7 linked regions of the Callithrix jacchus genome follow. The protein of the gene in region 2 interacts with the protein of the main gene of each other region in a pairwise test. Links are inferred from orthologs where the notes say so. Each region holds a gene or a part of one and is shown on either strand. Other genes may lie near its edges.

Region 1 (2,717 bases), on a different chromosome or scaffold from region 2:
GATTTCTATCTGTTGTGCTAACTTCACTCCTATCTGAATCGATAATACTCTCACAGACATTAACTTATCAGTTCTCTCATTTCACTAGTCTTCTTTTTGTTTAATTTTAAATCTCCAGATCTCATTAATTGAGGGTCTAACTTGTGCTAGGCAATAGCTACACAGAGAAAATTAAAAAGATTTGATCCCTTTCCCTTCAAAGTTTATGCTCTGAAATAGAAGTTGACTGTGCTACAATTTGCAAGGGCATGTGACACTGTGCAATGTCCCAGCTTTGTTTTGTTTTGAGATGGGGTCTTGCTTTGTTGTCAAGGCTGCTCTTAAACTCCTGGCCTCAAGCAGTCCTCCCACTTCAGCCTCCAAAAGTGCTAGGATTATAGGAATGAGCCACCATGCCCAGCCTGTCTCAGCTCACTTTTATGGTAGATTTTGCTGCCTCTAAACAGTCATTTAGCCCAACCAATTTGAAAGTAGAGTGCTAGTAACAACTAAAATGGAGGTTTCTTTCTTTTTTAACATATGAAACGCATTAGAAAAGAACAAGTAGAGAGAAGTATAATATCTGCCCCCCGCAACACCCATCCCCACCCTGTGAAGTACATAAAGATCTTTCCTTTATTACACAGTACACCACAGGGAAGGTTAGGAGACACTGGTGCCTTAACCTCACATACTTGTATTGGTTTTTGGCCAGGATCATGCACCAGAGAGACCAAGGATAGATTTTCATTAATAATGTCTTACAGGAAAATTGTATTGTCTTTTATAAATGAGTTACCATCTCGGTCATCATGCCCCTCTGACACCAACACATCCTAATATCTCCAACTTCTATAAAAGCAAGAGTTAACAGGAACTATGGACATACATGCAGTGACAAGAAGGCACAACCAGATGCAGGCACTTCACTAGCACAAACCACAAGTCAGGCATGCAAGAAGAGAACTTTAATGGAGCCTGTTCCCAACTCTTCAGTGTCTTCACCCATCAATTCTGAGTGCGATAACATAAAGCATACCAGCTGAGGTTGTAATTTAGTGGGAAGCTGGGGCTTCCTTCTGCCTCCTGCTGCTTAGCAGTGGCTCTCTCCTCAGATTTTAGCTTTGCAGGCAGATCTGGGAGCTGTTTCGTTTCTTTCTGCTTTGTATCAAATTCTACTCCCATTTACTCCTAAAGAAAAGCAGAGCTTTCTGAACTATCCAAAAGTTTCCACTGTCATCTGCTCAACTGTAATGCTTCCTTGGAGGTGGAGGGCGGTTCTTGATGGTCTTACACTTGGGAATGTGTTGCTCAGCCACCTTGGGAGCAAAGTGGCGGCTATAGTGAGGACACTGAATGTAGTCTGGGTTTTCTGAAGGCAGGATGGGAGGCAAGTCTGAAGGGTTTCCACCTTTGGCAATTACCTGCTGGACCTCTCGAGCCTGGCGGAGGGTACGGATAAAATATTCGTGCTTCTGTCTCCAGTTGCTCTTCCGAGGAGGTTCAGCCTGTAATGTAAAAGGGATACTGATCTTTCAACTTGGCACTTGTCTCCTTACTGAGTCTCCATTAGAATAACAGTAAGAAAATGAAAAGGGTACTAATCTGCAAGATCAAAGAGAACAGGAAAGGAGCAATAGTGGTAACTGACTTGCCAGAGTTGAGGCAAACGAAGGGCCTGCAAAGAGCGTACTGCTGAGAGGCAAGCTGCTTTCCCAGCAGAACTCCAGAGAAGTTCAGTGCTTGGAAGTACCAGATGGTGCAAAGTAAGGAGGTACAGGACTGAAAACAGGCAGGACCCCACAGCTCCTCCCACCTTGCACATCCAAGTGTCCAACACCCAAGCACACTTAGAGAAGAACAAGGATTTATTCTCTGGAGAAATTGAACCAGACAAATTTCCGACTCAGGAAATCCAGACAAGTGAAACTTGGGGGTTAATCTGGGGACTGAAAATGGGGATTAAGTAGAAGTGTACATACCAAATTATGGAAATGTCAGCCCCCTTCTCCTGCTCAGCCCCCAGAGTATCAAGCATATTGGCATCCTCTTAGGAAAAAGAGGGGTTCTTTGGATACATGGAGCAGTCTAGAGAAAAGCCCTCAGATACCTTGGAGAACCCTAATTAAAAGGCTATTTAGTAACCTTAATATGAAGGTCCTTAGTCAACAAGCCCCACTTAAGATTAAATATGAAAGGACAGCCAGGAATCATCAAATATTTGCTAAAGCTCTAACAAGAAAAAGGGCCCAAAAAGTCAACAAACAAAAAACGCAGGAAGCAGCAACAAGGCAGATAGAGGAAGAAAACTTTTTTTTAACATGAAATCGTATCAACAAAATGAGTATTAGAAGAGGTTGTGTCCGTAAAACAAGAAGCGTATACTGTGAAAAAAGGACAACCAGAGAACCAGAAAGAACTATTAAACTATAAATTTAAACTTTGATAGCTAAAAATAAAAATCAAATAGAAATGTTGTCAAAAATTTCTCAGAATGGGAAAAAAGATGAGGATGGAAAGTGAAAAGATAAGATTGGAAAATTAGAAAGTTAATCCTGGAAGTCCAACATGTGACCAGTAAGAGTTCCAAAAGGAACAGAGAAAGCATGAGGAGAAAATTATTAAAGACATAATACAATTAACATTCCTAGAATTAACGGTCACACATCTTGAGATTGAAATGGCTTACCAAGTATCCAGCACAATTATTGTAAAGTTTCAGAATTTCAAAATAAATA
Region 2 (4,136 bases):
TGCAAGAATCACTTGAACTCCGGAGGCAGAGGTTGCAGCGAGCCAAGATCACGTCACTGCACTCCAGCTCGAGTGACAGAGTAAAACTGCATCTCAAAAAAAAACAAATAAAATAAAATAATTTGGTAAAAGAACAGCACTCTAGCCTAAAGAGGAAACTGGACCTCTTGAGGTGATGTCACAACTAACAGTCTCAATAAGGCCAGGTGAGAAGTATACTTATCAGGGGATCCCCTCCACTCCCTGTCCATCTTTCTCCTCTTCCCTAAAGCAAGGTGAAGCAGCCCCCATGCCAGGCAATACCGTTTGCCTCCAAAGCTGGGCCTCTCCTCATCTGAGTCTCGCTCTGCCCACACCCCATAGGTGGCTTCTTCCTTGGTCTGCCAGTGGCGCTGTCGGTTGGGGTTGAACTCATTCTGGAGATCCCAATCAGTGATCTCAAAGTTCTCCCGTTCATCATCATCATCATCAATGCGGTCTTCCCCATCCCGGTACAAGTGGGACAGTGACATGGCCAGTCACTAAAGGAAGAGATAAAAAGGGCACAGTCCATAATAAGTCCTGGGGGCAGCAGCAGGAGGATTCCTCTATTCCTTGCTGCCTTCAGAACTTTCTCCAAATTTAAAGTCCATTAAAATTGGCATTACTGTTCAATAAAGTAGATATTAAAAACATATTTTTAGAAAACAATCAGTACTAAAACGGGAAAAAAATACCAGTCCCAACAGTCTATGTTTCTTTAAAAGTATGTATTTCCTTGTCCTAGTCAATATCACAAATATCACACACATTCACACATACATAAACCACACAAAAATATCTAAGTAGGTTATTTTATACAGTATTGCTTTAGAAAATGAGTGGATATCTTCTTAGATCCCAGATTCCTTTACTTTTTCTATTACTGAGGTAAGAATTATATCTGGATCCTTGGTGGTCCAGGAGAGTGACTTTTTTAGAATATGCTTTTTAAAATACACTACTTGATGAAACATAATTTTTAGTTTTCATTGCAAGACATGTATTTCTTCTGATGAGCTAAAAAACTGTAGTAATTATGAACACTATTTTAATAGTCAGATATCCAGGGATTGAAATAAAGAATCTACCTCATGGTAGCTGGGGGATGAGATTCAGTTGTCTTTCTTAAATTGGGATAAACTACTATACCCACCTTAGAGAATGCTTATAAGGTGAATTCAATGAGTTCAAAATAAGTGCTCAAGAAACCATAGCTTCTACTGTAGTCCCATGATTAGGTTAATCATTGTATTAGTCAGGGTTCTCTAGAGGGAGTGAACTAATGGAATATATATGTATATATATATAGGAATATGTATATGGAATATTATATATTCTGTTCCATATATATAGTTATATATATTCCATTAGTTCTGTCCCTCTTAATTCCCATATATATATTCCATATATAAACTCCATAAACTCCCATATATATATAATATATATATATGGGAGTGTATTAAGGATAAACTCACACCATCAAGGTCCTACAAAAGGCTGTCTGTTGGCTGAGGAGCAAGGAGAGCCAGCCGGAGTTCCAAAACTGAAGAACTGGAAGTCTGATGTTCCAGGGCAGGAACCATCCAGCACCGGAGAAAGATGAAGGCTGGGAGGCTAGGCCTCTTTACATTTTTCTGCCTGCTTATATTCTAGCTGTGCTAGCAGCTGATTAGATTATGCCCGCACGATTAAGCGTGGGTCTGCTTTTCCCAAACTACTGACTCAAATGTTAATCTCCTTTGGCTACACCCCCACAGACACACCCCAGGATCAATACTTCATATCCTTCAATCCAATCAACTTGACAGTATCAAACATCACAATCATTACTATTATTGGACTAGGGAGTAAACTTAAAGTGATTGCAAAATCAGGCATGCTAAAATCAAAGCCTAACTTCAAATTCAACTCTACCAGATACTCAGTGTATGAGTATTAAATGCACACGAAGTGCCAAGCCTGGTGCACTACACAATAATACATTCAATAGGTGACAGCAATTGTGATTCTGGTCTTCCTGAAAGCGGCCTTAAGGCATAAGGAATTCCCTACTTCCACAGGCCAGTGTCAAACTCTGGTCAACTCTGGCAAAACGTTATCCTTGCCTTCTAGTCACTGGTGCCCTGGTTGGGTGCAGCTGGTCCCAACCTCTTCCAGGAATGTATACAAAGGAAAGGGTCTCAGAAGAGGTGGGGAATCTCAGATATATAAGGTTAAATAATACCAATGTCTCCGTGGACACAGGGAGTGGTGATAAGCCCTGAGTAGCCACAAATTATGAAGTCCTCATCAGTAGAAGCTAGGTACATGATGGTCGCTTGAGCCCTATTATCAACTGTGTGCATCAAGACACTTTTACAAGGCAGTTACCATTAATTTTCATGCTTCAGGTAAGAAAAGGGAGGTTCAGAGAAGTTAGTAACTTACCCTAGGTTCCACTGCTTATAGGGCTCAAACTCAGGAGCGCTAGAAGCCAGGCCTCGGGCTTGTCTCTCTCTTGCTGTCTAGGTTTGGCGAAGGAGGCTCAGGTTCTTGACTGACCCCAACCAGCACCGCCCTTCTCCGTGCCTCGACAGAGCTGTCTGCGAAATGGAATCCCCTCCCCACCCCTACATCGGCTTGGGCCGAGGCTCGCCTTCCCTGAGCCGGAGCCCTACTCCCACTGCCCCTGAGTCCCCTCGTGGCAAGCCCTACTCACCTCTCCGAGGCTCCAGCGTACCAAACTCAACTTCACAGTCCACGGAAGAAGGCAGTCTCTCCTACGCCAGACCCCGGATGCGCCGGAGTCGGCGCGCCGGAAATGACGTTGTCGACAGCGGATGTCGCGCTGGCTGCAAGGGCAGGATGGAACGCTGCGGCAGATTTGCCTGTAGAATGGCGGGCTGGGATCTTAGAAAGGAGGGGTGGATTTGCAAGGACCAAAATGATGGCTGGGGCGTGGTTTCCCCGTGAAGTGGGCCTCCCTGCTGCGCCTGCTTCGCACTGCGACGCTCAGCCTGTGATGACTGGTGTGGAATCCGCTGAGCCATCTTGGCCTAAGGAGACTTTGCCACTCTGAGATTGTAAATCTGTAAAATAGAGATGTAGGATTAGCCCATAGGGTAGTTGTGGTACATACTGTGAGATGATAGGGTGCCTGGGACACAGCATTCAATTGGGTATAATGAAGATCAAAACTGTGTCTCTTGTATCTTTGGCTCTGTCTCATAAGCACCGTCTTGGGCACAGGGCAGTGTCCTTTATGCAGGAGTTTAAGAGGGAATGAAGGAATAATGGGCAAACTCTAGAGTTCCCAAGTATTCTCTCCAGGAGACGTTTCCATTCTCATTTCCAGCAGGTTTGTAAATTCATTCATTTATTCACTGATTTAATTAAAATATACTGAGTGCCCCTCACCTGTGCTAGGCCAAGGAGATATAGTGAGCAGAATACTCCTGGGCCCTCCCTGGGAAGCCCTCACTATCCCTGGGCTCTGTGTAGACATTTAACTATACACAGGCTCTGGAGTTCCAAACTTGACTCTGCAATTTAGCAGCTGTGGACCTTGGGCAAGTCTAAGAAAACACGTAAGTGAGTTTTCTCTTCTGCAAAATGGCTAAGGATTCAATAAGATAAAACTGTAGGCCACAAAAACTGTGCCTGGCACACAGTAGGTGCTGAGAAAGAGTCAGCTATTAATTTTTGCTTATTTTTCTCTCTGCTCTATGTGATGAAAAGATCCAAGAGACAATTGTTGGAATGTAAAAAGAGCATGGGACTTGGAGTCAAATACTTACATCTACCATCAAATGGTTGTTAAGAATTAAACAATTTTTGTGTACCCAGTTAAATGTGGGTTTCTTAGCAATGGTGACTGTGTCTTAATGATCTAGTATTCCTAGTGACATGTAGAGTAATTGTGCCTGACACATAGTATGTACTCTGGAAAGAAATAGAAAATGTAGTTTTAGCATTGAAGCCTGGGAGAGAGGGTCTAACAGACTACAAGGCCCACCAGGAGCGAAGTGAGGGAAACAAGGGGAAAAAAGTGTTTTTAGTCTGTGCCTGAATGTATATACATCTGTTTGTAGCCCAAAAGCCAAAAATGTACATAAGCTTGGCTTTTCTGTTGCTAT
Region 3 (4,260 bases), on a different chromosome or scaffold from region 2:
ACCAATGTCACGGAAAGTTTAATCCAGTTTGGAACATGGCTCCTGACGCAGCTCTTTCTCTGAGACCCTGGACCACAGCAGATTGTTGTTTTTAGAGAAAGGGCATCACTGTCACCCAGGCTTCAGTGCAATGGCTAGATCGTAAGTCACTGCCTCTTTTAACTCCTGAGCTCAAGCAGTCCTACCACCTTAGCCTCCCAAGTAGCTGGGACTACAAATGCATGTAACCACAGCCAGCTAATTATTTTCTGTGGAGATGGAGTCTCGCTTTGTTGCCCAGGCTGGTCTTGAACTCCTGGGCTCAAGGGATCCTCCTGCCCCAGTTCCCAAAGTGCTAGTGTTAGGATTATAGGTGTGAGCTGCCATACCTGGCTTTTTCTTTCTTTCTTCTTTTTTTTTAAAAAGTAGCAGGGATCTGTAGTCTAGGTAAATTGACTTGCCAGATGTCCTCTAGCTGGTAGCCAAACTAGAAACAGTCTCTGTCTCCTGACACCCAGTCTAGTATTCCTTCTTTTTTTTTTTTTTTTTCTGAGACAGAGTTTTGCTCTTGTTACCCAGGCTGGAGTGCAATGGCGTGATCTCAGCTCACTGCAACCTCCGCCTCCTGGGTTCAGGCAATTCTCCTGCCTCAGCCTCCTGAGTAGCTGGGATTACAGGCACTCGCCACCATGCCCAGCTAATTTTTTGTATTTTTAGTAGAGACGGGGTTTCACCATGTTGACCAGGATGGTCTCGATCTGTTGACCTTGTGATCCACCCACCTTGGCCTCCCAAAGTGCTGGGATTACAGGCGTGAGCCACCGCGCCCGGTGTATTCCTTTCTTAATCATGCTGCCACTTCTATTGTAATCCTACTCTGCAGCAAAATGGCAGAATGATATCCTAGTACATCTGGGAAAAGGCACATGAAGCAAGAATAAGAATGTTTACAGACAGTATGACGGACAGCATGGCCAGCTCCCATAGCATGTCCTCTGCAAAGGCTTTCTTCCATCAGAATCAACCCACACTGCCACAGTGCTGGATCTCTACTTCCAGTTTGCGCTTCTTCATCTTGCCTCATGCTATGCTTTACAATCAGCTGGTGGTCAATTTATCTCCCCTCTTAGGGTTTTAGGTTCCTTATTAATTACAAATTTAAGTCAAGTTTGTCTTATTCACTATTGTCATCCCCATCCCTAGCACCTAGCACATTGCTTTATTGTTTATGCACTGTAGGAACTAATAATTGCTTACATAAAAATGAATAAGTTATGGAAACACGGGCCAAAACAGGATAAGATATTCCAGTGAGGAAGGCTCACCAGCAAGCAAGCCTGAGAAAATGGCAAGGATGGATCCTTACCTGCTTCTCCGCCCTGGCTCCTGTCTGTCACTGGAAACATCCCATTCCCACATCGTCACTTGAGGTCTTTGGGTGTCTGTCTGCCTCTCTGAGGCATCTTGATGGCCTGGGGGTTGGACCAGGGGAATGTCTGCGAGCCAGGTGGGAGCCATTTTTGGTAGAGTTGAAAGGGGCCGAGCTTGAAAGTGGGAGGGGGGAATTAGCCCAGTGGAACCTGAGGAATTACAAAAGCAAAGATGGTTAGTTTCCCAGGCAGAGGCAACCACCACTCCCCTTGCCTGGTCCCACTGACCTGAAGGTGGAAACATCTTCACATTATTTGAAGGCTCTAGATTCTGTCTCCAGCGATCTATATTCCCCTGGACAATAGGAGAAACATGGACACTCCAATTCAATTTTCAGGCCACCTTCCAAAGAGAAATCCCCTACAATAACAAAGTTATAATCCTAGAATTACAGCCAGGTGTAATCCTTGAATTACACCCAATGCTCAGCTCTTTTCCTACTTCCCCAAAGAAGTAGGAGATACCCCAAATTCACTTGCTTGTCTCAACCTGGTTCCTGATAGAACTCAGGCAACTAACTACACAGTGGAGAGAATTTACTGAAAGAGAGAATGAGAGGGGCTCTGAGGCTTTACTCATACTTTCAGGATTCTGGGCAATGCCTTTATCCTCCTTAAGTTTCTATGGTCCCTGCTGCTCCTAGCCAAAGGTGAGAAAGGAGGTACACAGTGCAGGGGTCTTGAGCGCCATCTCCACAATTCTCTCCATGGCTCAGCAAGGCCTGGGGGAAGCCCATCCAGACACCACCAGGCCATGACTCTTGGGTCCTTCCCTATTAAAGCGCTGGCCCAAGGCCTGGCCCCAGTTGAATGTGGCCACATGCAGGGTTAGACCCCTCCCCAGGACCTTGGGAATCCAGGCAGCCTAGATCCCCAAGCAGAAAAGCCAGTTTCCTGACATCTCATCCAAATCTTTCCTGGAGCTGTCCTCTTAGCTTCTCTCTACTATTCCCTCAGCTTCCATGCCCGCCGCCCAAACCCTCCTTCTAGAGTCCTAACACAGCGGGTACTTTAAGATCTTCCTCCCACCCTCATTCATCTATTTGTTACCCGAATCTGGAATTCCTACTCCTGTCCCTTTTTACATCCTAATCTACTTTTTTCTGAAGGAATTATTCTGGTCCTCACCCTCACCCCCATCTCTCAATATCCCCGGCACGCTAGCCGGCTCTGCTCTCCCCGCACCGTTCCCTCAGATACCCGAGGCTTCACCCTGTTGGCCCCTGAGCTCTAAGGCTGTTCTGATCTCCTCATCTGTCCCTTCACCGGACCCCTGTGCCCCCTTCCCCTTTGGACCCCTTACACCCTCCCAGCACCCTCTCTCAGACCCTTCCCGCCCCTAACCGACTCTTCCCGAACGTCCCTTACCCACCGCGAGAGCACCCTACTGCGCTTTGGCCACACCCCCTCCGCCTCGCTCCCGGCCCCGCCTCGGCCCCGACCGCGCCTGCGCAAGACGGGCGCTCTGAAGCCCCCATTTCACTCAGAGGACAGGAAAGGTCCACGCAGGCGCAATGGCGTCGAAAGCTGGGCTCAATGCGTCTGAGAGTCTCCGCGCCCAGGCGGCTCCTCCCCACTGCGGGAACCCGGGAAAACTTGTGAACTAATCAGAAAAAGCGGAAGTCAGGGGAGCTTGGGTCACCGTCCAATGGCGCAGAAGAGAACAAATAATCTGGCCAATCAGAAACGGCACAGGGGCGGGCTCACTCGGCGCGAAGTTCGGGCCCGGGAATTCCGAAGGAGGGGTAGGCTGCCTGCGCCCCAAGGCCGCGCCCCTCCAGGCCCCGGCTTCTTGGCTGTCAAACAGCTGCGGAAGTGTTGGCTCCCGCGGAGGAGCCCAAGGGGTCCTGGGGCAGCCGCACAGGCTGGCACTGCTTGAAGAGGAGGCCACTCGGAGACTGCAAGAGGAGATCCGAAACGCGGCTGAGGCCGAGGGAAAAGGCCGGGTATGCCATGCATGATCGCGGGAGCGCCTTCCTTTTTAAATCCCACCTAGAGAAGCCGGGAAGCAGGGGTTTAGGTCCAATTTGTTGGAGAACTTAAGGACTTGTTTGGAATTCCTTTTGGAGGATGACAGTGGATTCATTGCCCTCGGGGGTTCAAACTAGTTATGAGTGAGGGATTGGCCAGAAGATCGGGGCGCAGGCCAGCAGGAATGCTCTGTTAGGATAAGCAAGTTTGATAGGAAGAAGCTGCTCTTCTCCAAATTACAGAGAGGTGATGTGTTCGTATTGCACGTAGACTGTTTGTGTAACAAGACCTCCCCGCCCTGCCACCCCGACACACAAACGAGCTGCCTAAAATATCCTTGCCTTGCAGATTGGAGGTTCTCCAAATATTTTGTGACCTGAGGATCCAGCTCAAGTGAGGTGCCATAGGATGCGTTCCTGAGTTTGCATTGTATGGAGACTTTTCTGGAATCTCTCAGTAGCAAGTCAGCTTCACAACAAATTTTGCATTGAGTCCTAGACTGCTTGCAGTCTGAATTTGGACTACTTAGGTAGTGTGCTCAAAGTTGAAACTGGACACAGCACAACTCAAGTTTGCATCAGACTGGGAAGCAAACTTAAGCCAGTGGTGCGTGGCCCAGGAGTGGGAAAGGAAATGGATGCCTGAAGTGGAAAGGGTGGTGCAGAGTGGGCACCGCCCATGCTGCCCTGCTTCCAACTGCTGCGCATAGGGGGCGGCAGGGGCGGGGATCTCTACACCTTTCACCCCCCAGCCGGGGCTGGCTGCACCTACCGCTTGGGCCACAGGGCCGACCTGTGTGATGTGGCTCTGCGGCCCCAGCAGGAGCCTGGCCTCATCTCTGGCATCCATGCCGAACTGCATGCCGAGCCCCGGGGTGATG
Region 4 (3,500 bases), on a different chromosome or scaffold from region 2:
CAGGAATTCAAGACTAGCCTGGGCAACACGACAAAACCCTATCTCTACAAAAAATACAAAATTAGCCAGTGTTGTGGCACAGTCCCAGCTACTTGGGAGGCTGAAGTGGAACGATCACCTGAGCCTGGGAGCTCAAAGCTATAGTGAGCTGTGATTGTGCCACCGTATTCCAGCCTATGTGACAGATGAGACCCAGTCTCAAAAAAAAAAAAAAAAAAAAAAAAAAATTTATTCCCTGACTGGCTGGGTATTTGATAATGTTAAGGAGTTTATGTTTTTATTTAGTCGTATTCATGGGAATGATAGAACTTTTTTTTTTTTTTTTTTTTTTGAGATGGAGTTTCGCTCTTCTTGCCCATGCTGGAGTGCAATGGCGCAATCTTGGCTCACCGCAAGCTTTGCCTCCTGGGTTTGAGTGATTCTCTTGCCTCAGCCTCCTGAGTAGGCATGCTCCACCATGCCTGGCTAATTTTGTATTTTTAATAGAGATGGGGTTTCTCCACGTTGGTCAGTCTGGTCTCGAACTCCCAACCTGTGGTGATCTGCCTTCCTCGCCTTCCAAAGTGCTAGGATTACAGGCATGAGACACTGTGCCCGGCCAATAGAACATATTTTCTTCGACATAATGCGGGGGTAGAAGCAGTGGCTAGGGGTATAGATGAGTCAGGATTAGCCTGGTTGATAGTTTTTGGAGCTGGATGTTTGGTACACAGGGCCCATTATTATATTATTCAGTCTACTTCAGTGTGTATTTGATGTTATGTAGAGTGAAAAATTTTTTAAAAAGCCGGGTGGGATCAAATTGTTCTGCTTGAAAATCTGCCATGACTACTCAGGATAAAGTCCAAACTCATATGGTGTCATCTGTTTTTGTTTGTTTGTTTGTTTGTTTTTGGAGATAGAGTCTTGCTTTGTTGCCCAGGCTAGAGTGCAGTGGGGCGAACTTGGCTCACTGCAACTTCCACCTCGCAGGTTCAAGCGATTCACCTGCCTCAGCCTCCTGAGTAGCTGGGATTAGAGGCGAGCACCACCACACTTGGCTAATCCTTTTTGTTTTGTTTCGTTTTTTTCAGACAGAGTCTCACTCTGTTGCCCAGGTTGGAGTGCAGTTGTGTGATCTCAGCTTATTGCAACCTCTGCCTCCTGGGTTCAGGTGATCCTCAGCTTCCTGAGTAGCTGGGACCTTAGGCATGCACCACCACGGCCAGCTAATTTTTGTATTTTTGATAGAGATGAGGTTTCATCATGTTGGCCAGGCTGGTTTCAAACTCCTGACCTCAGGTAATCTGCCTGCCTCTGCCTCCCATAGTGCTGGGGTTACAGCTGTGAGCCACCACACTTGGCCATGTCATCTGTTTTTTTCACCTCACCCTGACACCATGTTTATCCTCAGTTCTTGCCATTTATCTTTTCATACTCTATCCAGATACATTGAGTTTGTAATTCCCAGAATTCACAATACTCCTTCTTGTCTCTGTGCCTTTGTGTACGCTCTTCCTCCGGTTGGAGTGTCCTTGCTTTTTTGTTTCTTCTAGGCCTTCCATACCTAGGTTAGGTATCTCCCTTTCCAGAAAGCTTCCTTTGGAATGAATGGAACCATATTGTATTCTCCCATTGTGTTGTGAATGTCCATTTCCCTTTGTTAGACTTTCAGCTCCTTGAAACAGGGATGAGCTCTGTATCACTACAAGTGTTTGGCACTCAGTAAATGATTGTTTAATAAATGGTTATTCATCTTTTAATTCCCAGCACCTAGCATGACATTTAGTGCATACTCAATAAATGTTTGTTAGATGAATGTTGAATATGAATACTGTGTTTTGATTGGTGGCATAGACTTTAGGAGGCAGTGCTCCCCACAACCTTGAGATTTACAGTAGAATTGGCGGGCAGAGGATCAGGAAAATCTAGGGAATATTTGTTCCCAGCGTTTGTTTCTTCTCTACAGGCATGGGTTGGAATTGGAGCCTATCTCCCATCCCGAAGGCTATCAGCATCATGTGGTTACTAACTGTTCCTCATTCACCGGTTGATGCCTCCCAGAAAAAAACGCCGCCAGCCTTCCCAGAAAGCCCAGCTGCTGTTCCACCAACAACCACTGGAGGGCCCCAAACACCGCTATGCATCTACACAGCTTCCCATCACTCACACTCGACAGGTGCCCAGCAAGCCCATTGACCACAGCACCATCACTTCCTGGGTAGGGCCATGGGATTATTACTTCGACTTTTACTGTTAGGTTTTCCAGAATGCTGACTCGCACAGCACCATCACTTCCTGGGTAGGGCCATGGGATTATTACTTCCACTTTTACTGTTAGGTTTTCCAGAATGCTGACTCTTCTGCCCCTAGAACCAGGGCCTCCAAAGAATAAGATTCTTGGGGGCAGGGGCAGGGAGTTAATGTATTCTTTCTGTCTGTGGCCAACCATGTTCTCTGGTACATTGTCTTTTCTCCGTTCAAACTGAGGAATGGATTAGTTGGAACTGGAGTCTTTCTCTCTCCCTATTTTCATCTGAAAGAGTTCAGTGTAAAAGTTTTTTTACAGGCCGGGCGCGGTCGCTCACGGCTATAATCCCAGCACTTCGGGAGGCCGAGGTGGGTGGATCACGAGGTCAAGAGATCGAGACCATCCTGGTCAACAAGGTGAAACCCTGTCTCTACTAGAAATACAAAAATTAGCTGGGCATGGTGGTGCGCGCCTATAGTCCCAGCTACTCGGGAGGCTGAGGAAGGAGAATTGCTTGAACCCAGGAGACGGAGGTTGCGGTGAGCTGAGATTGTGCCATTGCACTCCAGTCTGGGTAACAAGAGCGAAACTCTGTCTCAAAAAAAAAAAAAAAAAAAGGTTTTTTTACTTATTATTAGCTGGATGAGAAAGCCAGATAAATGGCAGAACAAGTAAGAAATGAGATTATTTCCTAAACTTCATGTGACAGGTGGAGTATTTAGGTAGATAATCTGTTTATTGTTTAATGGATTGAACCTTGAACAATAAAAACCCCATAAGAATAGCATATATTATATTTTGACCACTTAAAAGCCCTGGGAAGAGAGGCTGGTTGTGGTGGCTCATGCCTGTAATCCCAGCACTTTAGGAGGCCAAGGCAGGAGGACTGCTTGAGCCTAGGAGTTTGAGACCAGCTTGGGCAATATGTAGAGTGAAACCCCATCTCTACTAAAAATAATATAAAAATTAGCTGGGCGTGGTGGTGCACACCTGTAGTCCTAGCTACTTGAGGGCAGATCACTTGAGCCCAGGAGGCCAAGGCTGTAGTGAGCTGAGATTGTGTCACTGCACTCCAGCCTGGGTGACAGAGTGAGACCCTGGGAAGAGAATATAGCTAGTATACAACAAGGAAGTAGTATAGCAAAAGGGCCAGACAAAAGCATAAGCTTGGCTTAGGAATATTTAATAAATATAACTTATTCAGGACTGCTTGGAAGAACCATAGTACCTGCTACAGGATTGTGAAAGAAACCTAAACATCAGAATTTTG
Region 5 (4,104 bases), on a different chromosome or scaffold from region 2:
ATTCAGTTCCTCAGTGTTTGACCCCTCACCTATCCATGAGCTCTGTGACGGCAAAGACAAGATATGTCAGGGTTCTTTGCATTCAGCAGGGGCTTACTCACATTACCACCTGAGTTCTGCCTCCTGTCAGAGCAGTAGCAGCATTAGATTCTCACAGCAGTGTGAACCCTATTTGGAACTGGGCATGTGAGTGATGTAGGTTGCCTGCTTCTTATGAGAATCTAATGCCTGATGATCTGAAGAGTTTCATCCCAAAACCATTCCCCCAACCCCACCCCATCCGTAGAAAAAGTGCCTTCCACAAAACCAGCCGCTGGTGCCATAGGGTTGGGGACCGCTGCCATAGGCCCTAATGGGCCTTTGTTTGAAGAGGGAGTCTCAACAGTTTTTTTTTTTTTTTTTTTTTTTGAGACGGAGTTTCGCTTGTTACCCAGGCTGGAATGCAATGGCGTGATCTCGGCTCACCGCAACCTCCGCCTCCTGGGTTCAGGCAATTCTCCTCCCTCAGCCTCCTGAGTAGCTGGGATTACAGGCACGCACCACCATGCCCAGCTAATTTTTTGTATTTTTAGTAGAGTATTTTGTATTTTTCACGATGTTGACCAGGATGGTCTCGATCTCTTGACCTCGTGATCCACCTGCCTCGGCCTCCCAAAGTGCTGGGATTACAGGCGTGACCCACCATGTACCACAATAAACAGTGATTTTTAAGGTGAAATGTAAATGAAGCAGTGTTCAGATTGGCTCAAAGCAAATCAGAACTGTGCGTAAAGGGATCAATATCAGGTCTGGATGGTGATGTGGGCCCAGTGTTCTGTCTTCTCAGAAGCAATAAAGTTTACATCGATGTAGAATGTTTCCTTATCTGAAGCTCCAAACCTGGATTGCAAATAGGAACTGCTTTTCTGTGTCAAAGTGACTTAGCTCCTCCAGGCAAAAATGAGCTGTTTCATTCTTACTTGATGTAGTTTCAAAGAGCAAAGTGTGTGATCATCTCTGACTTTAGACAACCGTTTTCTACTAAGAAAGCAGTAGTCACTCAAAGGATGGGAGTTCTGCCACTTTACATCTGCAGTATGTCCAAGAAAAATATTTTTTCTTGGCTGGGTGCAGTGGCTCACGCCTGTAATCCAAGCACTTTGGGAGGCTGAAGCAGGAGGATCACTTGAGCCTAGGATTTTGAGACTAGACTGGGCAACATAGGGCAATCTTATCTCTCTCTTTTAAAAAAAAAATTTTTTTTTTTTTTGAGACAGAGTCTTGCTTTTGTCATTCACACTGGAGTGCAGTGGCAAGATCTCGGTTCACTACAACCTCTGCCTCCTGGGTTCAAGTGATTCTCCTACCTCTTGAGTATCTGGAATTACAGGTGTAAGCCACCAGGCCCAGCTAATTTTGATATTTTTAGTAGAGACCGGGTTTCACATGTTGCCAGACTGGTCTCAAACTCCTGACCTCGGGTGATCCACCCACTTCGGCCTCCCAAAGTGCTGGGATAACAGGCCTGAGCTACCGCGTCCGGCCAAAAAAATTTTTTTTTTCCAAAATTATCCAGGCCTGGTGGCGCGTGCCTTGGTCCCAGCTGCTTGGTAGGATGAGGTGGGAGGATCACTTGAGCCCGGAGACCGAGGTTGCAGTGAGCTGTGTTCATGCCACTGCATTCCAGACGGGGCGACAGAGCGATCCTGTCTCAAAAAAAGAAAAGGAAAAAAAAGGAGGCCGGGCGCGGTGGCTCAAGCCTGTAATCCCCGCACTTTGGGAAGCCGAGGCAGGTGGATCACGAGGTCAAGAGATCGAGACCATCCTGGTCAACATGGTGAAACCCCGTCTCTACTAAAAATACAAAAAATTAGCTGGACATGGTGGCGCGTGCCTGTAATCCCAGCTACTAAGGAGGCTGAGGCAGGAGAATTGTCTGAACCCAGGAGGCAGAGGTGGCGGTGAGCCGAGATCGAGCCATTGCATTCCAGCCTGGGTAACAAGAGCGAAACTCCGTCTCAAAAAAAAAAAAAGAAAAGAAAAAGAATAAAAAGGAAAGAAATTTTTTTCCTAGTAATTCTTCCACCAGTTGGCTTATGTCAGCTGAGAAACAAGAGGACAGATCTTTTACAGTCCAAGCTAATTCTGACTTTCCCAAGTATGACGAAAGAGAAGAGGTAAGGATGACTATATTTTTTAGCCTAAGCAACAAGAATGAAGTACGTACAAAGATGGGACAAACTGGAAGGTTTTGGGGGAGACAAGATCGCAAGCTCAGTTTCGGATGTTATTAGTTTCAGATGGCTCAAATGCGTGGTGAGGGCGACTGGACATCTCTTCGGTTCGCTCAGTTCGCTACCTGTAGTTAATTGTGTACTCCTGTTGTTTCCCACGCCTGCTTCTTTGCATGTGCAGTGTCCACTGTGGGTATGCAGTCTCCTCACGGTTGAACCCGCCTCGAGCTAGACCTAAAGCCCCGCACAACAGCGCTAAAGCTCGGGCCCCGCCCCTCCCAAGGCCCCGCCTCCCCCAAGCCCCGCCCCGTGTTGCGCTCACTTGTAGAAGCTCACAGGGCGGTTATCCGCGCCCAGGCGTCCCGCAGTGTTGGAGCAGTTCGGCGCTCTGCAGTACTTGGGCATGGCTGCCCAGCCCCGCTGAGTTTTGCCAGGTCAGCGGCTGCACTTTGGTTTTCGCCGAGCGCCGCCGAACCCTGCCTCGCCCGCGCGCTTGCCTCCTGCCTCACGTGACGTCCCTGGAGTCTCGTCACGTACCCGGGAGAGCTGGGAGCGCCTGGTCTACTAGGTGCCCCCTCCACAGTTCCACAGCCACGCCCTCATCACTTGGCGAATGAGCCAAAGCGAGTACTGTGCGTCTGCGCAAAACCGGCCCTTCGCCAACCCGACCTTCATCACGTGTTGGTGGAGAGGCGGCCTCACGGCGTTTCTGAGCTTGCGCCAACCAAATCAACTTGCCCCGCCCTTTGCTTACATCCGGGAGACCGTCAGAGCGCACATACTTCCTCTGGGTGGCGGCAAAAATCGAGGTGAGGCGGCTGTGGCCTTAGCCTCGTAAAAGTTAAAACCTATATGTTCCAGCGAATAATGAAAACGCAGTCTGGATAAAAGACCCCCCCGACGCTTGATCAGGCCCATCCTGTACACTAGCTGTGGCCCCGCCCCGCCAGGCACTCGCTCCGCTTCTTCGTCCCCATTGGGCCTAAGCACCGCCCGACAGCCCTGAGATTGGCCAGACCGGGCCCGTCGCGTCCAATAGGCGGCGGCGCCGGCTTTCCCGCGGTTGTTTGCTGTTCCAGTGAGTCGTGGAGGCGGCGACGGTTAGTGGAGGTAACGGTCGCCCGGCTCCGGCGCGACGATGGCGGCCGTAGGGTCCGGAAGCTATGCGCGGAACGATGCGGGGGAGAAGCTGCCCTCTGTCATGGCAGGAGTTCCGGCGCGGAGGGGCCAGTCCTCCCCGCCCCCCGCCCCACCGCTCTGCCTCCGGCGGCGGACGCGATTCTCGACGGCCCCCGAGGAGACGGTGCAGAACCGGGTGAGTAGCTGCTCGCCATGCCTCCCCCAGTTTCAGGTTTCCTGGGTCTCTCCTAGTTTCGCCCTGAGAACTGTGGCCCCGACTATCAGCCCCGCCGCCAGTTCGCTCAGGTTGCTCCCTGCCGCGCCTCTTCTCCTAAGCCCCGCCTCGTCCCCTAAGCCCGGTCACTTCAGCCACGGTCCCTCCCACTTTCCCTCTCCTCGCTGTATTGCCGGCTCCACCCTCTTGTGTTGGGGCAATTCCTGGGTTCCTCCCTGGTTCCCACCCCTAGGAATGCATTTTGCTTTTGCAAATCACAGCTATACTTTAACGCCCGTTTGATCGCCTTTAGACGTCACGATCATAGCGCTCTCCAGCCTCACTGCCCTGGCCCCCGCTGGGTCATTAAGGTCACTTCCTGGGTTCAGTCTAGAGTATTACCCGCCCCAACTCTTCCTCTCGTCTATGCCGCCTTTTCTCACCTTCTGCGGACTCTATCCCTTTTCCTCTCCAAGGTTGGATTCCATATTGCCACTCAAAACTATGAAAAAGACGTGAGAAGTTACTTGTAAAATCTCTGCAGTGCTGCCTAGGGAG
Region 6 (4,023 bases), on a different chromosome or scaffold from region 2:
CGAGGTGAGTGGATCACCTGAGATCAGGAGTTTGAAACCACCCTGACCAACAAAGTGAAACCCCATTTCTAAAAATAAAATAAAAACATTACTAGGCAGGGCAAGGTAACCTAAGAGCTTTTGGAGGCCTAGGTGAGAGGGATCACTTGAGGCCAGCAGTTCAAGAGCAGCCCAGGCAACATAGGGAGACCTCTTCTCTATAAAAATACGACTACTACTAATAATAATAAAAATAGCCAGGCACGGTGGCTCACACTTGTAATCCCAGCGCTTTGGGAAGCTGAAGCTGGAGGATGAATCACTTGAGCCCAGGAGTTGGTTTTGGTGAGCTATGATTGCACTCCTGCTCTCCAGCGTGGGCGACAAATAGATCCCGTCTCTAGAAAAAACAAACGAACAAAAAAAACCAAGTAACAAAAACATTTCTAGTCCCCACCTATAGAGATTCTGCTAAGACTAAAGTGGGGCCCAGGACTTCTAACATGTTCTAACGTGCATTTCTACCGTGTTCTCCTGGCGTTTTTGGCCTCTAGTCCGCACTTTGAGAACCGTTGTTCTAGAGAAAACTGAATTTCCCAGAAAGGTTCTGGAAGAATAGGTAATGGGCTTTGGAACTCTGCTCTGGAAACTAGTCAACGCCCATGTTAATCCAGAAAAGGGCAGCACTGTACCAGCACGTCCTCTGTGCTGGTTGGTCCAAGACGACCGAGTAGCGGGCGACAAGCACAGCCTATGAAGAAGGGTTAGAAACACATCTACATCAGACCCATGGGGAAGAGAAACGCGAGAACCTTTGAGAGGGGATGCTGCGGGGAGTCTTTAGGGGCAGTCACTGAGCTGGGCCTGGAGACTGAGTAGGGTCCTACATGGGGGAATGGGTCAGGTTTAGGGACGAGGAACAGCATTCGAAACCGCAGGACCAGCACCAGTTGAAAAACCTAGCTAGCAGTGAAAGCAAAGTACGGAAACAGCCTGCGTTCAGGGTGCTATGTGAATTAACCAGGGCGCCTGCGCAAACGGCAAAGAGTTTTCCCCCCGCCCCCGCGCCTCTCTCGGTCAGACTGTCGCAGCAGCCCGCAAACCTCCAAGCGCAGGCCGCCGCACTTATCCGCAGCAGCGCCACCCGCAGCCGGTGGGGTGCGCTCTTCCAAGTGGCCGCCCAGCTCCCTGCCAGCCTGCGCCTGCGCAGATCTTTAATGGTTCTGTCGGGGACACCCCTGGGCACTCCGGATTAAGATGGCGGCGGCTGCCAGGCGGGGCTGGGGAGCTGCGGCTGTTGCCGCGGGGCTGCGCAGGCGGTAGGTGACGAGCCTGGAGCTCCGAAAAGGGGTGCGGCTGGGCTTAGCCAGCGGAGCGGTCGCCACCTTGCAGACCCTTTCTTGAGGCGGGTGGGTAGTGCATCTGATGGAGCCGGCGGGTCCGCAGTTCGGGGTGAGCCCTGAGGTGTGTGGCTGTAGGTGCAGAAGCTCGGAGCTTTTGTGGCCTAATCCGGGCTGACTCTGTGGAGCTTTGTGTCGGGCTCAGAGACCCGGTGCTTGAGTCTCTGTAGAGACTGGCTATGGAGCCAGAACGGAGGAGCTGTTTTTAAATCATGTGCCTCTCTGCCCCCAGGCCCTTTGCCAGGTGCATGTCCTCTTTTAAACACAGAATCAAACTGTCACGCAGAAGGGAAGAAAATACCTTGTCTCGTTTCTTCATTTTCCCAGTAAGGCCCTGAAAGAGGAAGTGACATGTCCACGATCACACAGTTTCTAAGTGATGGAACTCCGAAGAGAATTAAGACCCCTAGATGCCCTGCACGCACCACCATTAAGCCCACTCCGTTCCCTTGCTTTTCTTCCCTGAGCCGTACCTTTGAGTTTCACCTTCCAAAGACTTCTCGGAACATTGCTAAGAGGACATTTATGTAGGTGTACCTTGATTTTACTTCTGGAGAAAAAGCCTACAGAGAATTTGCCCTCGAGTAACAGACATTTTAGTGTTAATGATGTATTGAGGTTTAAATGTATATCCTAAAAAGATTTAAGTTGGTAGAAGGATTTTTTGTTAGTTACCTACTGTGTTTGAGTAGACGTCGTCCTTGAATAATGTAATCCACTCTTAACTTAAAAACAAGACTTTAAACCCATATGTCGGAATGTGCTGCTGCTTTGTTCATTCTGCTGCCTTTTCCCTGGGCTGAAGGGACGAGAATATTATTCTTCCAGTGTATTTCCAAATTCCAGTGCATCTGCAGATTCAGGTAGTGAGCTATAGAAAAAGGTATTTTTACCCCAAACCTTGGACTTCACTCGTTTAATTAGAAATTTTGGGGCACCAATTACATAAAATGGTAGCAGCTGCCATTTATTGAGCACTTACTGCATGGCCTGGCACTGGTTTAAGCACTTTACATGGATTTTTGGATTCTTTATGAGGTAGCTGTGAAATTAATTTTGTTGTGAGATGAAGAACTGAGGCCATTGTGCTAGCAGCTAGAAATGAAGACAGTTTCTCCATTTGAGTATGCAGTCTAGCAAGAAAGATATATTAACAAGTCGTAAGTGCTGTAATAGATTCATATAATTTAAAGTGGTGACAGCTCTTACCGGGATCAATACTGTTTGGAGCTAGTGTGGGGAACGGCAGTCAGGACTTCACAGATTATTTGAGTCCCATTCAGTGTTGACTCCGTTGTTCTCTTGAATCCTCAGTGCCAATCCTTTTATCTCTCCAATAGCATCTAAGAAACTGTGGGTTACAGTCCTACAGTATCCTAGTAAAGTAGCTTTGCTTATCAATGGCATATCAGGATTACTGAAGGTAGGAAACAGTTAATCTGTATTCTGTTAATCCTTAATTTGTGCCCACTCATTCTTTTCCACAAGCAGAATTCCAGTTTTGTGAGAGAAAAAAGTGACAGCCATCGTCTGTTGCTTCTTGTCTATTTTAAGCAGAAAATAATTAGATAAATCTTTTTTTTTTTAAGTGATCTTGTGTATGATCACAATTTTTGCCTTTGCAAAAAATTTTAACAGAAAATTGTGACAGTGAAAGACTGTTCTAACCAACCACCATTTTGTCTTTAACCTCTAGACTGCCCATTCCTGGGCTTGGCCAAGCCAACTTTGGGAGACATTTATAGTTCAAATGATAATAGCCCTTCCCCCAAATTAAACCACCTTTATAAAGCTAATGAAAGACCACCAGGTTTGGAGGTTGAGAGGAGCCTGAATTCTACTAAGGTATAGATGTAAATGATTGCCTGCCATTATTCTGGAGGTCATAAGAGTTGCAACTTCCCCAATTACTCCTTCAGACAACACTCTTGTGGAACCTAAGATTAGCCTTTTCAGGTTTTTGCATTTCTCACTGGTCTACCCACAAACAGACTAAGCACTCAGGAGGACCATTTTCCACACCCCAATGATTGCATCCTCAACCAATCAACAGCACCCATTCCCTGGCCTGTCAATCTATCCTTGAAAATCCCTCACCTCAGATTCAGAGAGACTATTTGAGTACTAAAACTCCAGTCTCCCTTTCTGCTGGTCCCGTGTGAATTGAACTCTTCATTGCAATTCCCTTGTCTTAATGAATTAGTAGTATCTGGACAGTGGACAAAATGAACCTATTGGCAATTATAAATGACTCCTGTGCTTAAAATTTTTCCATGGCTCCTATGAAGTGGCAATTGTAATGGATAGCAATGATATTTTCAAGTAAACTGGATTTTAAAGTAAATTGCATTAGGATTCTAAGAATTTTCACTATTAAAGTCTCCTTTTACTTCTTTTTCTAGTACTATTTGCTTTTCTTCCTTTGTTTTCAGTTTGTCAAAGCCATCAAAAATAGCCAATTAAGTTTTCTCTGTAAGAGTGAAGTAAAGTTACTATACTGGGTTAATATGTTTCCATCCAAAAAACATATAAAAGGCAGGGCATGGTGGATCACACCTAGAATCCCAGTGCTTTGGGAGGCCAAAGTGGGAGGATTGCTTGAGCCCAGGAGCTGGAGATCAGTCTGAACAACATAGTGAAAACC
Region 7 (3,500 bases), on a different chromosome or scaffold from region 2:
GGCACAGCTAATAAAAGGAGTAGGTTAAGGTTTCCGAAATGATAAAAAAGAATGAATTGAAAACTAGATAACAATTCTGAAATACCAAGTTAAGATCTTGAACAAGATAAACTCTATAATATCATGGGATGCTACCAGAATGAGTAATTCAAGAAAGTACAAGCAGACTGCCAGATTCTTTATATCACCGTTGGTATAAATAACACCATACTTCATTATTTGGACAAATGAGGAATGATGTCTAAATACTTTCTTAAAGCAATCTCGTGACAATTTGAAATGTGTAATTATAATAAAGCTAACACATTATTTGTGTAGAACTTTAATAAAAAAAAAAAAGCACAAACATATCTTTGTAATACAAACCAATTATTGTTATTATGACCAATAAGGACTAGAGCATTGACCAATGCCTTAGATTTCTTAAAACTGTCTTTATTAGAAAGAACTTTAAGGCCAGGTGTGGTGGCTCACACCTGTAATCCCAGCACTTTGGGAGGTCAAGGCAGGTGGATCACAAGGTCAAGAGACCGAGGCCATCCTGGGCAACATGGTGAAACTCATCTCTACTAAAAATACAAAAATTAGCTGGGCATGGGGGTGCACACCTGCAGTCCCAGCTACTTGGAAGGCTGAGGCAGGAGAATCGCTTGAAGCTGGGAGGTAGAGATTACAGTAAGCCAAGGTCATGCCACTGCACTGCAGCCTGGACAACAAACAGAGCAAGACTCTGTCTCGCGAAGGGAAGGGAAGGGAAAGGAAGGGGAGGGGAGGGGAGGGGAGAAGAAAACTTTTAATTACCTTAAAGGTATGAGCCACATCTGGTACAATTTGCTATTCTGACCGATGGGTGAGGTGCACACATAGTAAGAGCTCCCTAAGTACGTATTACTGGGTGACTTACCTGACCTAACACATTACCACTAGGGGCTTTTATAGCTATGTGATTTCATAACTTCTCTTTGCTTAGCAAATGAAAAGGGAAAAAATAAGATCAATAATTATTCTTTGCCTTTTGGCTAGGGGATTAGGAAGAAAGTGCTTGGGACAATCTCCACTCAAGCCATTTCTTTAATCTTCTAAATACTAACCAGAAAAACATTATCCCATGTCTTTCCCTCCTCTTCCTCTATTTCCTGGTTTAAATCCAGTATTTTTAGAACACTGAAGTATAAAAATGATAGAAAATAATAGTAATCAAATAGATAAATAGAATGTGCCAGAAAGAATTTTCTTTCCCTTATAGTTTAGTTGTAAATCTCCCTTTTAAAATCTTTTGCTATAATGCATACTTAGGTTCTTACTTTTTTTCTTTTTTTTTTGAGACTGAGTCTTGCTCTGTTGCCAGGCTGGAGTATAGTGGCGCAATCTCGGCTCACTGCAACCTCCACCTCCTGGGTTCAAGTGATTCTTCCGCCTCAGCCTCCCAAGTAGTTGGGATCACAGGCATGTGCTACCACGCCCAGCTAATTTTTGTATTTTTAGTAGAGATGGGGTTTCACCATGTTGGCCAGGATGTTCTTGACCTCTTGACCTCATGATCTGCCCACCCTGGCCTCTCAAAGTGCTGGGATTACAGGCGTGAGCCACCAAGCCCGGTCAGGTTTTCACTTTTTAAATTAAATACAGAAATATATGGAAATTCGGTCATACACACACACACACACACACACACACACACACACACACACACAAAACCCATGAAAAAAACAGTGAAGGAATTTTAAGGGTAGTTATCTTTATACAGTGAGGCTAAATGTAATTTTCAGTTTCTTCTTTATACTTTTCAATTGCTAAGAGAGAATAGGTAATATTTTTTGCAATCAGGAAAACATGTTACTATAATTGTGAAAAATGTAATTAACTCTTTTTTTGAGATGGAGTGTCCCTCTTGTTGCCCAGGCTGAAGTGCAATGGCGTGATCTCAGCTCACTGCAACCTCTGCTTCTTGGAGGCAGAGTGCTTCTCCTGCCTCAGCCTCCCAAGTAGGTAGGATTACAAGCATGCACCACCATGCCGGGCAAATTTTGTATTTTTAGTAGAGATGGGGTTTCACCATGTTGGTCAGAGTGATCTCAAACTTCTGACCTCAGGTGATCCGCCCTCCTCAGCCTCCCAAAGGGCTGGGATTATAGGTGTGAGCTACTGCGCCCGGCCTAACTTTTGATTATTCACATTTAGTTACATTTTACATTGCCAATATTTATCTAAAATGGCTCCTGACACCTAAAATATTCATGCTCACAAGGTATGTTATCGTAAGAAACAAATTTCACTGATAATCTAAACAAAATCATTAAATATACGGATTATGAAAAAATTTCAAAATGAATTCTGAAGATAAATATTAAAGACTTGGCATAGTTAGCCTGAAGTGAAATTTTGTTAGTTTTTGTAAATTTAAGATTTGGGCCTGAGAACACAACTGCTTACTACACAAACCCATAACTATATAATTCTTTCTCCCTACTATGAAGTTAAATTTCATGTTCTCAGAACTATCATTTCCCCAACAGACACTTAGTTCACCATTGTATTTCACACAAACAGATGTCTTTCCCCTACCCTCACCTGTGGCTTTCTTCAACTGCACTTCCATTCTGACTTCATGACCTGGCCTTTTAAATTCCAGAAACTCCAGAATTTAGTGATACATATCACAGAAGAAACTAAGGAAATAACAATTATTTTGTTATAATAATTAATGGAATTGTAAACATAACATTCTTTGCTGATAGAATATGCAAATTTGTATACACGGATAAATTCTCTTAAGGGAAACATTTTGGCATCTTTTCACCCCAAAAATGTTATGTAGCATAAGGTAAGAAGAATCCATTGTCTTTAAAAGTTCTTACCTCATCAAATCCAGCAGCTTGTAAGTCTTGAAGCATTTGTGGATTAACTTCTGAAGTACTACGAGAATTTGTTTCATTTGCAAATGGAAGCAGAGAATTTCGAATTTCCTGCAAGACTTTATGATGTGTCCCAAATTTGGGTGGATTTCTGACTTGTCGAGGATCTTCAGTTGACATTTTACTCATGTTATGCTCAGCCTTAGTAGCATCTGATGGTTTAGATAAATTCCTAAGGGATTCCCGAATTTCTTTTAACATTTGTCGGCTACTGCCAGTATAGTTACTGGCAGGAAAGGTCTTAGGCCTCATTTGTCTATATCCTTCTGGCTTTTCACTCCTCTTCATGAAAACATCTATATATGTAGCCCACACGAAAGACTTCTTTATTTGATAGATCCAGAGCTTTCTTCTGAGCAAAAATGAAAATGATCCTTCAAGGAAGTCCCCAGGACTATTAAAATTCTTTATAATATAAATAATTAACTCTATAAAAAAAAGAAAGAAAGAAAAGCTATAAAGTGATTAATAAAGCATTTTAGAGGAAAAGTCCATTGACACAGGGGTTAAGAGACTCAGGTTATAGTTCTGACTCCATTAAGGATTACTCCGGGATCAGAACAAGTTACTTATCTCTCCATGCCT

Evidence for each region.
Region 1: the proteins of TFIP11 (region 2) and ZC2HC1C interact in binary tests that used the Homo sapiens proteins (3 or more experiments, as listed by UniProt). The link is inferred for Callithrix jacchus from reciprocal best matches to the Homo sapiens genes TFIP11 and ZC2HC1C.
Region 3: the proteins of TFIP11 (region 2) and CCHCR1 interact in binary tests that used the Homo sapiens proteins (3 or more experiments, as listed by UniProt). The link is inferred for Callithrix jacchus from reciprocal best matches to the Homo sapiens genes TFIP11 and CCHCR1.
Region 4: the proteins of TFIP11 (region 2) and RHNO1 interact in binary tests that used the Homo sapiens proteins (3 or more experiments, as listed by UniProt). The two-hybrid records come from large-scale screens. The link is inferred for Callithrix jacchus from reciprocal best matches to the Homo sapiens genes TFIP11 and RHNO1.
Region 5: the proteins of TFIP11 (region 2) and THAP8 interact in binary tests that used the Homo sapiens proteins (3 or more experiments, as listed by UniProt). The two-hybrid records come from large-scale screens. The link is inferred for Callithrix jacchus from reciprocal best matches to the Homo sapiens genes TFIP11 and THAP8.
Region 6: the proteins of TFIP11 (region 2) and NFU1 interact in binary tests that used the Homo sapiens proteins (3 or more experiments, as listed by UniProt). The two-hybrid records come from large-scale screens. The link is inferred for Callithrix jacchus from reciprocal best matches to the Homo sapiens genes TFIP11 and NFU1.
Region 7: the proteins of TFIP11 (region 2) and LATS1 interact in a two-hybrid assay, tested with the Homo sapiens proteins (2 studies listed by BioGRID and IntAct). The two-hybrid records come from large-scale screens. The link is inferred for Callithrix jacchus from reciprocal best matches to the Homo sapiens genes TFIP11 and LATS1.

What each region holds. Positions count from the first base shown.
Region 1 is NC_133509.1:109,990,105-109,992,821, reverse strand, and holds the end of ZC2HC1C (zinc finger C2HC domain-containing protein 1C), read right to left. Parts: intron 1,488-2,717; coding exon 1,224-1,487; 3' UTR 501-1,223; downstream 1-500.
Region 2 is NC_133502.1:197,239,508-197,243,643, forward strand, and holds the start of TFIP11 (tuftelin-interacting protein 11), read right to left. Parts: upstream 2,801-4,136; 5' UTR 2,720-2,800; intron 2,631-2,719; exon of another isoform or gene 2,604-2,630; 5' UTR 2,449-2,603; intron 522-2,448; 5' UTR 513-521; coding exon 304-512; intron 1-303. UniProt on the Homo sapiens protein: Involved in pre-mRNA splicing, specifically in spliceosome disassembly during late-stage splicing events. Intron turnover seems to proceed through reactions in two lariat-intron associated complexes termed Intron Large (IL) and Intron Small (IS).
Region 3 is NC_133505.1:35,978,647-35,982,906, forward strand, and holds the start of CCHCR1 (coiled-coil alpha-helical rod protein 1), read right to left. Parts: upstream 2,801-4,260; 5' UTR 2,550-2,800; coding exon of another isoform or gene 2,538-2,549; 5' UTR 2,232-2,537; coding exon 1,992-2,231; intron 1,771-1,991; exon of another isoform or gene 1,705-1,770; coding exon 1,638-1,704; intron 1,560-1,637; coding exon 1,346-1,559; intron 68-1,345; coding exon of another isoform or gene 1-67. Other genes in the region: TCF19 (transcription factor 19), read left to right, coding at 4,059-4,260. UniProt on the Homo sapiens protein: May be a regulator of keratinocyte proliferation or differentiation.
Region 4 is NC_133510.1:16,205,240-16,208,739, forward strand, and holds part of RHNO1 (RAD9, HUS1, RAD1-interacting nuclear orphan protein 1), read left to right. Parts: intron 1-1,948; 5' UTR 1,949-2,032; coding exon 2,033-2,200; intron 2,201-3,500. UniProt on the Homo sapiens protein: Involved in microhomology-mediated end-joining (MMEJ) DNA repair by promoting recruitment of polymerase theta (POLQ) to DNA damage sites during mitosis.
Region 5 is NC_133523.1:32,202,383-32,206,486, forward strand, and holds the start of THAP8 (THAP domain-containing protein 8), read right to left. Parts: upstream 2,801-4,104; 5' UTR 2,619-2,800; coding exon 2,536-2,618; intron 1-2,535. Other genes in the region: WDR62 (WD repeat-containing protein 62), read left to right, coding at 3,352-3,528.
Region 6 is NC_133515.1:44,443,632-44,447,654, forward strand, and holds the start of NFU1 (NFU1 iron-sulfur cluster scaffold homolog, mitochondrial), read left to right. Parts: upstream 1-1,223; 5' UTR 1,224-1,236; coding exon of another isoform or gene 1,237-1,298; exon of another isoform or gene 1,299-1,443; intron 1,444-1,706; 5' UTR 1,707-1,730; coding exon 1,731-1,906; intron 1,907-4,023. UniProt on the Homo sapiens protein: Iron-sulfur cluster scaffold protein which can assemble [4Fe-4S] clusters and deliver them to target proteins.
Region 7 is NC_133505.1:156,481,968-156,485,467, forward strand, and holds part of LATS1 (serine/threonine-protein kinase LATS1), read right to left. Parts: intron 3,344-3,500; 5' UTR 3,204-3,343; coding exon 2,859-3,203; intron 2,670-2,858; exon of another isoform or gene 2,572-2,669; intron 1-2,571. UniProt on the Homo sapiens protein: Negative regulator of YAP1 in the Hippo signaling pathway that plays a pivotal role in organ size control and tumor suppression by restricting proliferation and promoting apoptosis.